3 linked regions of the Rattus norvegicus genome follow. The protein of the gene in region 1 interacts with the protein of each later gene in a pairwise test. Links are inferred from orthologs where the notes say so. Each region holds a gene or a part of one and is shown on either strand. Other genes may lie near its edges.

Evidence for each region. The genes of interacting proteins can lie anywhere in the genome.
Region 2: the proteins of Bysl (region 1) and Mipol1 interact in binary tests that used the Homo sapiens proteins (3 or more experiments, as listed by UniProt). The two-hybrid records come from large-scale screens. The link is inferred for Rattus norvegicus from reciprocal best matches to the Homo sapiens genes BYSL and MIPOL1.
Region 3: the proteins of Bysl (region 1) and Lonrf1 interact in binary tests that used the Homo sapiens proteins (3 or more experiments, as listed by UniProt). The two-hybrid records come from large-scale screens. The link is inferred for Rattus norvegicus from reciprocal best matches to the Homo sapiens genes BYSL and LONRF1.

Annotation. Positions count from the first base shown.
Region 1 is NC_086027.1:20,878,994-20,884,041, reverse strand, and holds the start of Bysl (bystin), read right to left. Parts: upstream 3,702-5,048; 5' UTR 3,634-3,701; coding exon 3,369-3,633; intron 1-3,368. Other genes in the region: Med20 (mediator of RNA polymerase II transcription subunit 20), read left to right, coding at 4,144-4,157. UniProt on the Homo sapiens protein: Required for processing of 20S pre-rRNA precursor and biogenesis of 40S ribosomal subunits. May be required for trophinin-dependent regulation of cell adhesion during implantation of human embryos.
Region 2 is NC_086024.1:80,488,881-80,493,579, reverse strand, and holds the start of Mipol1 (mirror-image polydactyly gene 1 protein), read right to left. Parts: upstream 3,251-4,699; 5' UTR 3,071-3,250; intron 1-3,070.
Region 3 is NC_086034.1:62,686,572-62,691,180, reverse strand, and holds the start of Lonrf1 (LON peptidase N-terminal domain and RING finger protein 1), read right to left. Parts: upstream 3,251-4,609; 5' UTR 3,237-3,250; coding exon 2,441-3,236; intron 1-2,440.

The DNA of each region.
Region 1 (5,048 bases):
TAATGGTTGATGCACTACCCTCAGTGACCTCGAAGAAGCCATTCTATACTATACACGTGGAACCTGGTCCATCCAGATAACCTCGAGGAATGGGTACTGTCATCAAACTGGACAGTAGGTAGCTCGGGTCCTGACTTCCCACTTTGTGGCTTGCACAGTACAGCTGTATTACGTGCTAAGGCTAAAACCATGGTAGAGGCAGAATTACCACAGGCACTTTGGTGAGGGTGAGGAGGCCCTGGATGGGCAATTTGGGAGCAAGAGCTTGCTGTACACCCTGGAAAGTAGTGTTGTCGCAGTGTTGGGCATTAGGAGCCAGAGCCAGAACTAGACTATAGCACCAGAAAGGAAAGGTAAAGCCAAGCCGGAAGGCTGAGGGCTAGTCAGTGGCACCAGACTCTGATTAACCAATACATTTAAAAGGCTGACTTAGGTAGTCAAGGATGACTTAGAGGTCCTTGTTCTCAGGCCTCTACTTTCCAAGTGCTGGAATCACAAACACACACCACAATGCTTAACACTGAGCTCCTGATGTTGGGATAAACGCTCCTGTTCTGTGTAAGGTTGTCTTTGAATTATTCACACACTGATTTCTGTAACAGTGGAGACTTGCAGTTGTTATTGTTATTTTTGTGAAGCATCACCTGTCCAGGTGTTGTATAAACAACATCTTCTCTGTCTCCGTCCCATTGGTTTAATCAGGAGCTGACTGGCCTATAGCAAAGCAGGAGAGGATTTCCGGCAGAGATAGGAACTCTGGGAAAGAAATGAGATATGAAGGGATTTGACAGCCAGAGGAAGAAACACATACAGGTACTGAGGAGTGGAAATGAGCCATGTGGTTCCGTGTACACTAGTATTAATGGGCTAAGTTGTATAAGCTACTTGGGAACAAGCCAGCTAAGGCCAAGCTTTCATAATAAAATGTCTCTGTGTCCTTACGTGGGCGATAGGTGGATAGGTGGGTCAAGCCATTCCTGACATATCCTGACTTTTATTTTTTTAGAGACAGGGTCTTGACCATGTAGCCTTGGCTGGGTGCTTCCTGAGTGCTGGGATTAAAGCCATGTGCCAACATACCTGTAGTGACAAACACCACACACACCTGGCAAGGCAGCTGGGAAAGAGCCTAATGGGCCAAATTAGCTGCAGTGTTACAGAGCAACAGGTCATGTGCTTGGAAGTGGACTAAGGGTACCTAGAGCTCAAGGAGTCCACAGAGCACATTCAGGGAGAGCCAAGGGTGTTTGTTGTAGATTTACTTTAAGTGTGAGCGGTGCCTGCCTGCATGCCTGCATGTATGTCTGTGCACACGCGGGCCTGGTGTCTAGTGAGATCCGAAGATGGCATCTGACCCCTTGCCACTGGAGTTACAGACAGCAAGCCTGACATATGAATGCTGGAAACCATACTCGGATCTTCTGCTAGAACAAGTGTTCTGAAAAGCTGAGGACCAATTCTCAAGAGTTTTCCTCTGTTCTCTACACACATCATGACACGCACACAAAATACATGTTAAATAAAAGAAGACAAGTGCTATGAGATAAGTAGGGGAATAAAAGAGGTTAGGAGACAGATGCTGACACTTGTGGGGTGTTTTGTTGTTGCTGTTGTTAGTTTTTTATATATGAGTGAACCCTTGCATCATAGAGGCCAGAGGGGAATCTTGACTATTATTTCTCGGGAGCTGATGACCTTGTTTTTGAACCAGGGTCTGGCTGGGACCTGGGGTTAGCTGATTAGGCTACACTGGTTGCCCAGTGGGTCCAAGAGATCTGTCTTCAACACTGTGGGACTACAAGCTGTTGTAGGTGGAAGTCAAGAGTCTCAAGTCATGTTCCTTACCAGCTGAATTATCTTATCCCCTCCTTACTTTGTGATTAGACCTGAAACAGAGGCAGATTAGATAGGATTCTGTTGATCTCTAGCTGTTGAATGGACCACAGAGGTTACAGAATACAAATTATGATGCTCTCCCAGTGATTCAGGGGAGACTGTGGTAGCTAAAACAGGAGGCGTTCCAAGTTAATGGAAAGTGGTCTGGCTCTGGATATATTCTAAAGACACAACCATCAGGATTTACTGTGAAGTGAGAAAGAGAACACTGGATTGTGCCTTGAGCAGTGGAAGGCTAACATGCTAACAAACTCTGTGTAGCCAACAGAGAGCAGGTTTGGGAAGGAAGTCAGAACTTCTGTGTGGACACATTCAACTATCGACAGCTACCAGTCTTCAACTTGGAGCTGTCAGGAAGACCACTGGAAATAAAGATGTGAGCCTCTTGGACGAACTACGTACGTGGGAGAAAAATCTGGAAGCAGCCATCAAACAGATGGCTTCAGAGTGAAATTTGCTGACAGCATCACGGAAGGATCTATAAGCTCAAGGCCTGCCTTGGTCACGGCAAGTTCAAGTCCAGCTTGAACAACTGAAGGAGACCCAGTCTCAGTTACAAAATGTTTTTAAGGGCAGGCGTGGTGCCAACCACCTATAATGCCACATGGAAAACAGAGGCAAGATCAGGAGTTTAAGGTCATCCTCCCCTACAGAGTTTGAGGCCAGCCTGGGCTCCTTGAGCCCTTACTTCAGAAAAGCTGCTGTAGCCCTAAAGCCACATTCAAACACTGCTTTTAGGACAGATGGGAATGGAAGATTAAGCAACTGGAGGTCAACGACAGTTCCTCCCCAGTGAGACAGATTACCAAGCATCTACCCACCCATCCCACCCCACTTTTAGCTTCTGAACAATACTCGTTCCCCTCCCTCATCACTGGAACACTTCCCACTTGCTTTTCAGATCTTACTAGAAGGACGTGAAACCTGGGATACCCACCATACAGAATTAATGTCCATCTGTTTTTGTTTAAACAGAAATATCTTTCCCCCTCTCTTGAGAGATAGGGTTCTATCATGTAATGTAGTCGAGGTTAATCTGGAATTTACTATGTACTCAAGGAGGCCTTCTGCCTTGCTTCTGGAGTGCTGGCATTACAGGTGAGCATCGCCACTCCTGCCTGGAATATATTACTCTAATTATCTATTTAATGTGTGCCTTGAGCTACACTTCCGGTGCCATCAGGAGTGATGAAGATCTTATTTCTGGATCAGAACTGCCTAAAAACTTAACACAGCTCAAAGCACTATGCAGGCAGCCCACAGATACTTCAAACGCACAGAGAATAAATAAATGCTAGAACTGGTGTGAGAGATCACATTCTGTTGGCTTAAGTCTGGATCCCGAAACCCAGGAGTGGAAGTGAAGGACCACGCGGGAAAGTTAAGCCGCCTACTCTTTTTAATTCTAACCCAGTATTCCGATGGAGAGTATCAGACCGGCCCAACTCACCACTCCACCCCTTGTCACTCACCCAGCCGCGTGGCGCGCTCTCGCGGTTTTGCCGGCCGATCTCCAGTCGCGTGTTCAGTCTCGAGCTCCTCCTGCTGCTGCCGGGCTTGTTGCAAAATCCGTCTGCTCAACCGGGGTCCCACATACTCTTCCTCCTCTTCGACCCCGTGTCTCCGCCGTTTTTCTCGGGTCCCCGCACGCACTGCGTCCCCAGCCAGAATCTGCTCCGCCAGAGGTGCATGTCTCTCTTGATTTCTGGCCCCACGTGTCACCTTTAATTTGGGCATTTTTGTCGAAAAACTTGCCCACAAAGTTTACACGTGTGAAGCCGGCTAAGAGACGAGACTGCGCTTGCGCCTTGTATTCCGGTCTCCAAGAGGTCACTGAGGCATCACAGTGCCCCCCAGCGTTCGGAGGCCGGAAGTTCCTCATATATCGCCATCTCTAGAAGAGCTTCGGGGCTTGGAGCAGGAGTCTCCAAATTCTCAGATAATCTCACTGAAAGAGGTGGATGTTCGAGTCACCTTTTCCAGAATTCATGAAAGTAGCCTAGGGCGTGTTGTCAACCCCTTGTATGTTTTGGGGGCGGAGCCGGGTCGATGACGTACTAGAAATGTCACCGCTGGTGTATCCAGAGATGCCTCTCCCTGTGGGCGTGTCGTCCTGGCGCTCAGTATTTACGCATTTCCGGAGGCCGGTCAACGACCGCTTCCTGTGTTTAGGGGGCTGCCTCTCGTGGGAAGGTCTGGATTCTCTGAGTTTGAGTATTTGGCAGTACCACCTTTTGACCCTTCGCCATGGGAGTGACGTGGTAGGACTTGAAGGGCTTCTGCGGGGGGGGGGCTGTGGGGTCGTGAAGGTGTCTGTGAGCCTGTAATGGCCCGGGGAGGGGGATTTTGACCGAGGTTCTCGGTTCCTCGAGGGCTGACCAAGATGTCCTGGGGTTGTGTGGATCAGGGGACACCCGAGTGCGGGTTCTCCCTTCCCAGGCATAACAATTTGGCAAAGCAAGCACTTCATCCCAAGAACCCGCCAAGAGTTGTTGGACCTTCTTTTTCTCGGTACCTCTTTCTGTCCTTGAGGCCTTGTCCCGTCGCAACTAGAATCCAGCGGTTAGAAATAAGGTTTCTAGACTAGGAGATATTCGGAGGAAGGGATAAAAAGGGGCGCGAGGAGAAAGTGACTTGTGTATTCTGCTTGCAGTTATAGCACCTGACTTTGAACTGGCCACTTTAAGATATTGGGGCTAGTGACAAAGGTAGGGGAAAGGAGCTGTTGGGAGTTTGGAGATCGGGGTACCAGGCATATTAACTATTCATGAACCACTCCCTAACGTATTTGAGACAGTTTTTTGAGCAGGGTTTTCTTTGTGAGTAGCTTTGGGAGGCCTGTAGATCAGGCTGGACTCAAACTCACCGAGATCTGCCCACCTCTGCCTCTTGAGTGCTTTGGTGATGGCATTTGCCACCAGCACTTGGGCTTGAGACAGTTTTGATCGACTTTTATCTTAAACATGTCTTAAGTCTCACTTGAAAAAAAAAAAGAGGCAGTCGGTAAGGTTTGGGCACCGTGCTTTTGTGGGTATTAATTTCAAAGTACTAGACCTCAGCACTTAAAATCTTGGTACTGGTGCGCTTCTTTCCGATTAAAGAAGCTTGGGGGCCATTGTACAGGAAGTCAGGGGCCACAGGTCTGCTCTGGA
Region 2 (4,699 bases), on another chromosome or scaffold:
TTATCCAGGGAATACAGAATTCTGGAAAGATGTTCTTTGACTTTCCAGATGTCAAATGTAGTTCTTTGGACTACATCCTGATAAATATACCAAAAATGCATGTAATACACACCTAAGTCATCAAATCCCTGAGCTGAACACAATGTACCAAAGACCACTAGTTGTTGGTTCTCCTGATACCACCTAGGAATTGCAGCTTGCAGCCACCACCCAGTGTCATGAATAACAGTAACTTACCGTGTCTGTCTACCCCTAGCCTAAATAAAGATTAAAAATACAAATGCAAGATACCACCTCTATTGACTACCAGTTTCTCACCATCCCAAAGCCAAAAAATCTAAAGGTGAACGACTGTAAGTCAGAGACAATATATACTATTTTTTTTTTAGCTTCTCAACAAGACACACTATTTTAAAAGTTTTTCTTAAAAAATTCAGACAAGGCTTTAAAACAAAAAGTATCACTAAAGATGAAATGAATCACTGATAAAAGAGGATGTCTAGCTTACAGAAAAATAGATTAATCATGAAGCTATATACTATGAAGAGCATGACCTCAAAAATAGATATGTACATACACACATGTATATATGTGTGGATGTGCGTGCGTGCGTGCGTGTGTGTGTGTGTGTGTGTGTGTGTGTGTGTGTATATGACTAGGTGGGTAGGTATCCAGGGAGAAATAGACTCCATTATTACAAAAGGAGTCTTAACATAGCAAATTGTCACCACTTACTACTACTAACACAGAGATTTATACATATATGAATTGTTAATAGGAGAGATTGAGCAACAGCATTAATAAGGCACGTATAAAACAATCCATATCACCTGTGCAGACATGTTTTGTAAACAGCTATATACAGAAAAGTAACAATTTTAGTGGTTATTCATTTGTTCAGAAAAAAATGTCCATGTTTTATATACTTCTATATGAACCATATTTCACAATAAAGTTTTTTAAAGTTATCATTTTTTTCTCTTTTTCAAAGTTCATTCCACAGTAGCAAATCCTACAAAGATACAAAAATACAAAGAAGCACTGTGAGATGGTGCTCTCATTTAATCCCAGGACTTGGGAAACAGAGGCAAAATTTCTCTGAGTTCAAGGTCAGCTTGGTCCACATAGCAACTTCTCAAACAGCCAGGACTAAAGCCAGACTGTCTTGAGAGAGAGAAGAGAGACAGGCAGATACAGAGACAGAAACAGATGTTGGCATGTTTCAAGAAGAAACAAGAAAAATATTCAAGATTATAAACTACAGTAAACTGAACCCTGTTATAGTCTAGTTATTTCCAAAATGTATAGATATTAAGCAAAATGGAAGCAATCTCAATGTACATACACAAACCTAATGCACTACTTTAAATTTAAAAGAATATACCACATACCTATATATATTAAAATAGAGTAAAACCTAAAAGAATACTTCCAACTTTAGCAAAAATCACAACCAGATTTCCTTTTAACAAATGCCAAAAGTAGTTCTATGGAAAATTTGTCCTATTAGTCAACTATTAAAGAGAAAGTCCAAATCAGCTACCACGTTAAAGTAATAATCTGTTGCTAGAATAGATTGTGTGTGTGTGTGTGTGTGTGTGTGTGCGCGCGTGTGTGTTTCCAAAACAAAAAATGTGGTATATAGTTATGGTTAAATTTAATTATTTCAAGACATAAGATAATTATACTTCATGAAAATACAATAAACTGTACACACAACTTAAGCACGTTTCTATGTTTATTAAACTTTTAAATTTATCACGCAAAGATTTTTATTTCATACTCTACCGTTGAAGAAAAATAATGTACATCTACTCATATTTGCTTGTCCATCATTACTTTTATCTAATGAAATAATTCATATTATCTCACTTTTTCAAAATTAGCCTCAATTATTGCTACACTATTTACTAGGATGCAATCTAGTTTGGTTTCTTTTGCTTTGACAAATGTCATGACCAAAAGCTAACACGGAGGGCTAGCATCCATCACCCAGGAAGCAACCAAAGGAGCTGGAGGATAGAACCTGGAAGCGGGAACTGAAGCAGGGACCAGGGAGTTACCCTTACTGGCTTGCTCTCCATAGCATGCTTTGGTTTTCTTCCTTATACAAGTGAGATCCAACCTGCTCAGGGTTGATAAAACACACAGTGAGTGATCTGGGCCCTCTCACCTCAATCATTAATCAAGAAAATGTCCCCAATTTGATGGAAGCAATTCGTCCTTTGATCTACCCTCCTCTAGTCATTCTAGTGACTTAATAATATAGTAATATCCAGTGCAGGATGATAGCCTATGTAACGATTACGTAACTGTCCTTTTATCTGAGGTTCACTCCAGATGGCAGTAAGAAACTTTGCAAAGTGAGTAACTTGTGATACAGATTAAAGGCGTCCTTCCTTAGCTGTCTATCTACCACCACCGGGAATTATTTGACATAAAAATGCTCAAAGGGACCCTTCCAAAGGCCTGTTCTCTTAGAAACACGCGTTTCTTATATCACCACCCTAGCCTATCCTGCTATCTTGCAATCTACTCGACTTGAAGTACTTCACCAATACCGTAAGGTGGTGTCATCCTCCAGTTAGAAAAGCCAGTTTTTGGATGTAGTGAACCCAGAGTATGCAGTTGTATCTTACTACAGTAGGCACTGGGCATATTGAGCTACACTGCGGTTTTGTCTCGCACTATGAAGGGTGAAAGCTATGAAGCGCTAAAGTGTCCCGGAAGGGCATAAAGTGAACCCACGGTCCAGCCAGGACTGAAACCTTAATTCCTCACAGCTTGGAGGAAAAACAACCTACACTTCTCAGTGTTCGGCCTTTTTAACTTTTGAAAGACTACACGCCATGATGCTGAAACCTGGAGGAGCGGCGTGTCACCTGTGAACGCCGCGACGCGGGCTACCAAAGGTGGCCGGCACTCTCGCGGTCAATTCTTAAGCAAGTACTCCTGCATCTCCAGGGGCCGCGGCCGGAAGTCCCGATCGGGCTGCAGCCCACTCTGAGGTTCTCTCCCTTCCCCTTCCCCTTCCCCCTCACCCCCTACCGCTCCCGGCCCACGCCGTTACCTGTGGAGCCACGGGATCCTTAAGGGCCCACTCCGCTCACGCAGTTCGCGGGTCCTGTGGCGCCGCCACCGAGGGAGCCAATCGCCGTGCGCCCGCTGCGCGCCTCTGAGTGACCAAAAAGGGCGGGGTGGGCGAGAGGAAACGTGCTGCACGCACGCGAGAACCCGCGCGGACGAGACTGCACGCACCGAGCATGCGCGAGCCCGGTGGCTGCAGGGGGTGGGGCGGGGCGGCGGGGCGGGGCGGGGCTTCCGGCGAGCTCGCGGACCTACGGATTGCTCCGGGAAGCAGGAGGAACGTGGCCTGGAAGTCTTGTTCGATGGGAGGGGCGGGCAACTACTCCGCGCTAACTCTGCAGAAACGTGTGGTTCGTGAGCTCAGCCTCCCGTAGAGGATCTTCACTGGGCAAAACTGTGGTTTCCGTTTGCGTGGAGAGATTTGTGGCGACCGGAGGAAAGGTCCTGCGAAGTGAGCCAGAGTGAGACCTAGATGTTGGCCAAAGAATTCAGAAAAGCCTTAAAGCTGGTGACATATTTACTTCAGGACTAGAAAGAGTGTACTCTAGACTATGTGCGTTCTCAATGTTCAATCTCAGAACTAAAAAGAAAAGCCTAAACGCCAGGATTATTTTTATTGCAAAACATAGGTTTTAGCATTCTAAGCTCTACCCCCCCCCCCCCAGTTACCAGCCAACAGCCAGGTATGCCTGATACTATAAATGAGGCTACTTGCCCCCTCTTGCTCTTACCCTCTTCCCTCTTTGTTCCTTCCCTCCCCATTCCCCTCCCTATCTCCACGGGATTATGGCCGGCTTCTACCTCTCCCTCCCTCTTAACTCCCCTCCCCATGCTCTGAATAAACTCTATACTAAGGATTGTGTGGCTGTTCCCTCAGGAGGAATGGATGTCTCAGCATGGGCCGGCTGAGGCACCTCCTTTCCTCATGCCTCACCATACCTCCATAGAACATACCCCCACCCTTTATCTTTTTATAAGCATATGAATAGGAATAATGTGGAACTATATTGGAACTGATATAACTGGTGTTTTTCTCCTTTTAAAGAGAGAAGTGGTGTCCCCAAGCTGCCCAATCTGATCTAGAACTCCTACATCCCACCTTAGCCTCTTTGCTGGGACTACAGGTCACTGACGCTCTGGTGGTTTAGTATTGAAATATTAAAGTCACTTACTTAGTATTTTCTATTCACTGAGGGCATACTGCATGCCAAGTAGTCTTCTGGATGCTGGGGTAACAAGATTACCGATAATAGTACTTTTTTACACCCCCAGCAGAAAATAAGCATAAGGTGGTGACAGCCACCAAACCTAATAGACAAAGTTAGTGAAAGACTTGATTTTGGCTTACAGGACAATAAGAGGTAGTGCCCATCATAGTAATGAAGGCAGGATGGCAAAGTGACCAGTCATCCCCAGTCAAAATGCAAGATAACAAGTGGAAAACAGGGATGGACTCCACAAGCAATAACCAGTAACCCATTTCCTCTAGCAAACGTTCACCTTCCAGAAGTGCCACATACTTCACCAAGTGATAGGAGGTATGAAGTATGAAGAAAAAGATGAGATGAACAAATTACTTGGAATAAATAGAGCTTAATACTCAAAGTTCTGT
Region 3 (4,609 bases), on another chromosome or scaffold:
AGTAGAAAAGACTCAATGCAGAAAAGACTTTTACATAAGCTCCTTGAATACTAAGAAGAAAGTTATGAAACATCTGAGAGTTAATACCAAAAGATCAATGGATTAAATGTTATCTAAATATATTCCAATGCAACAGAACCTTATGTAATCTCAATGGGAATTCTGATTTTGGCAAGGGTTTCCAAGTTTGCTTTTTCTGTCGACAAGGATAAGTTTGGTTGTGTGTGGGCCAACTGCAGACTAGATTTTTTTTTCTAATAATATTTGTTTCATTCTAAGAAACATGAAAAATTACAGCGGTTTTTTTTTCATGATCAACGAAGACAGTGCCATTAATAACTATAATTGAGCAATGATACAAATGCATTTCAAATGCTTACCTATCTCAAAACTGGCCAACTCCAAGACACCTTAACCCTAACAACCGGACAAACAGATTTGCGAGAGTAGAACTGACACACTGTGGTGGGTTGTTTGGAAGGCTAGGGATACAAAGCAGAACGCTGCGCATGCCAGGCGAGCTTGCTACCCCTGAGCTATCCGCCCACTCTTATTAATGCCCATAAATTATGAAACACATACACATTTGCCCCCGACCAACTAAAATATGTTTGGCTCTTTAATTGTTCTCTTTTTATCTCGCACAAAGAATTCAAGAGAAAAAAATATCATCATTAGTATCATTGAGATGCATATTCGGGTGGAGAATTACTGATTTTTCTGACAAGCCTATGAATAAGGAAAAAAAAAACCCTATAACATAATAAAGTGAAAGGCCAGAGACTTGAATTCGAGTCTTGAAAAAAGTGTGGTTATGTGGCCTGTGGGCAAATCTCACATGCGGTCTATGAAGCTTGGAAGCGACAGAATTCATCATTCGCAGCCTTTTCTGTTCAAGATGATATCCTGGTAGACCCGAGGATCTCAATGCTGGGCAGAGAATGTTGGGAAGTGGAGGGTCTAAGCTGCCTATACAAGCCACCACCCAAGTGACTGTTGTTAAGTCACCTGCCCTGTCTCTGCTTCCTCCTTAAGGTCTGACAGAAGCCTGATACTGGATGATCAGTCAGGTCCAGCTTCCCCCACTCAACTTTATCCACCCAGATATCCAGAGTCATCCCCAGCAGAACTGTGCATCCCCAAGTGTTCTATCACTCTGGGTTTGTCGTTTTAGTTTATGAGTGCCTGCTCATGAAGCTGCCAGAAGAGGATGAAAACGTGCCAGAAGGGTATGCCTGAAGCTACTGTCAACTTCCTCAGTATGACTAAAAGAGTCAAAGTAATAATTTCAGTTACAAGTTTATAACTTACCTAATACCTAAAATCAGTTCAAATTCCCAATGTCACTCATTTCCTGGGGATTAATACTGTATGTAATTTCTCATGGCAGCCCACAGACACACAAAGCATGCCCAACACCAGGTGACCAACTATGATACAGTTGACATTTGGGCTTGATCAGTCTTTCACGTAGGTGGCTGTGAGCTTAGGAATGTTTAGCAACATCCTTGGACGGGCCACTAGATGTCTGTACTGACAGGACTTCTACAAGAGGTGGCCATTCAAAGATGTCTCTAGATGCTTTACTAGATAAGGGTCCCTGATGTAAAAATCTCTAGGAGGTAAGTACCACCACCACCTCAGTAGAGAACAACCGAGTTCGAGGATTTAAAGAACTCTTGGCTTTACTAAGTTTACAATGACCCCTTTATCCGCAGTCTAAAAGCCATCTCCAGTAAACTGGACAACGCTGTTCTTGGATATAAGCAAAAGACCTACAAAGCTTCCCCTCACAGGTCTACACTGAGTAAGGCAAACTCGTCATAGGAGGCTACTTCTCTACCAACACCAGGAATGTGTGGGAGCACGCACAGAGGTCCAAGGAAGCAGAATGTGAGATAGGCAGGTGGAGGTTCCTGGAGCAAGCGATCCTTTAGGTAAGAAGAGGTGACCACCTCGCGGGCAACCGGTCACCAACTCAGAGCTGGGCCGCCGCTGGGCCTCCGGGTGCCGGTGCCCGCGCCGGGCTCCCGCCACGCCCACCGAACGTCACCCGTTACACAACGCCCCCCCACCCAGCTTATGCAATTCTGCCCTCCCGCGGCTTCTAATTGCCCCGGTGACTTTAGTGCATGACCAAGGTAGACGCGGTACCCCCAAGCCCCGCCAAGCCCGGGGATGCTCGCCCCACCCCGGCTGGGGTTCCCAGCCAGCTCACAGAGGGAAGCCTGTGGCCCCCACCCACCCCGCGCCCAAGCTCCGCCGCCCCAGGTCCCCGCTCGGCGCGCGCACGAGGGAACCTCGCATCCGCGCCCCTCCCTGCGCCGCGTCACTTGAGGCTCCCAGGCGATCCCCACCGTGACCGAAGCACCCCGGGGCGCCGCCCCCTCCCACACTCGCAATCCCCGCTCGCCAGTCCCGCACCGCAGCCCCGCATCACCTGCTCGCAGAGCGTCGCAGGCGGCGGCCAGGGCCTCCCGGTAGCGTCCTTCGTGTAGTAGCTCCCCGAGGCGGCCGGCCGCCCGCGCGCGCTCGCGCTGGCCCGGGAACCACTTCTCCGCCAGGTGGTTGAGCACGACGCTGGTTCGGAAGTCGGCGATGGCGGCGGCCAGGGGCGGCGGCCGCGGGGTCCCCTCGGAGGCGGCGGCGGCGGGTGGCAGACGGTCCCGGCACAGGCGGCAGCGGGCGCGCAGTTCCCTCCGTAGGCAACGGCGACAGTAGCTGTGGCCGCACGGCACGGTCACCGGCTCACTTAGGAAGCCCCGGCAGCCCAGGCAGCTGAGCAGCCCGGCCGCGCCCGCGGCGGGTGCCGCGCTCCAGCGCAGCCCGTGACGGAGCCGGTAGCTGAACACCAGGCAGTCCACTAGCGAACCGAGGCGCTCGGGCCTGGCCGGGGCCCCGCGGCGCAGCGCAGCCGCGAACGCCTCCAGCGCTCCCTTCAGGTGGCCGCCCAGCGCCAGCAGCTCGCCGCGGCGGAGCAGAAGCTCCCAGCGCCCCGGCTCCGCGCCCGCGCGCTCCAACCGCTCGCCGCCGCCCACTTCCCACGGCCCGTTCCGGCTCCGCGGTCCGCCGGCCGTCTCCCGATTCCCGCCCGGGGACGCCCTCGCCACGGCCGGAGAAGACATGGCCCGCGCAGGGCTGCTCCTCCGTCGCCGCCCGCCGCCACGGTCCGGGAACCTCCGGGGCGCGCGGCTCCGCACGCGGCCGGCGAGCAGGGGGGCGTGGCGCGCGGACATGGCGGGGCGGCGCGCGCCCGGGGAGCCCCTAGGGGCGGGGCCTGGGGAGAGGGGCGGAGCTTAGCGAGACGGAGAGGGGCGGGCCTTGGCTTCCGCGCCCGGCCTCCCGACACGCGGCCGGCCGCCCAGTACCGGAGAGCTGGCCGGCCTGTCCCACCCTTTCTGAGCCCCTCCTGGTGAGGGACGCGAGATCAGATGATCCCCAGCGGGGATCTAATTGGCTTCTCTGACAAGGAGGCTTGGCTCCTGACTGAACAAAGCCTGAAGTCTCCCAGGCGGCCTGCGAGCTGACACCTCTTGTAATCGTGGCTGGTCCCCAGGCCTATAGTGGGTGCTATGCTGTTCGTGTGGGCACCAGCAGTGCTGTGACCCCAAACCTGCCGCACATGAGTAGATACTTAGACCCCTCCTGGCCGTAGATGGAAGCCTTGGGTGGGTCTGGATGCCCAGGGTTTCTGCTGGCCAGAACAAGTAGAGGGACTGCGAATGCACATGCACGGTGTGATTACTTTGAGACTCAAATCTGAAATCGGCCAACTCTAGACACACATATTTCATGTTACTGAGACCACTTCCTCCCAGCACGCAAGAGTTTTTCTTGGTGCTTGGTTAGTGCTGACTTGTGATGAAGTTTATTAAGAGAAAATGACAGAAACGAACTGTCCAAAAGAAACCCAATACTTTGTGAGCGATTTGTAAACTTTAATTTTAAAAGTGCAATACACCAAAAAACATTAAACTATTAAATAAACCACATGTACACTTAGAGAGTGAAAGTCCCCATGTCCTCAGGTGTGCTCCACATCCTTCATACACACTAACCCACAGTTGCTTAAAGTTTTTTAAATGAGAAAACAGGAGAAAAACATTTTCGCTGTGGCAGAAACCAGATCACCACGATGCAAGCGTTCTGCAGCTTGGTCGATTGAAGATAGTTTGGCTCATATGTAATGGGTTCTAGTTCCTCTAAATGTGAAAGCATCAGGTATCTCAATGGAAATATTTATAGACTTGATTACAGAGTACTGGGTTGGTAATGTAGGAAGAGATTTAAGGCTTCTTTTTCAAATACTTGATAACAGGAAATAATTCAGTCTGAAATCATACAGTCAGTATTGAAAAGATTTTAAGATCTCACAGTGATAGTATCATATATATATATATATATATAATGTTTAATAAAATTATCTTCAAATATTTTTAACCAGAGATCTTCAAATAAAGCAATTGGATGGAATGTCAAAGGTCATGCTGTCTAAAATTGTCTAACAATTAATTGTTCCTGCTTACACAGAATAGGTAATAACAGTTCAAAAGTGTCTTTATACTAAACAATGAGCAAACTTTCCTCAGAAAAGAAAGGGGGACAGGAA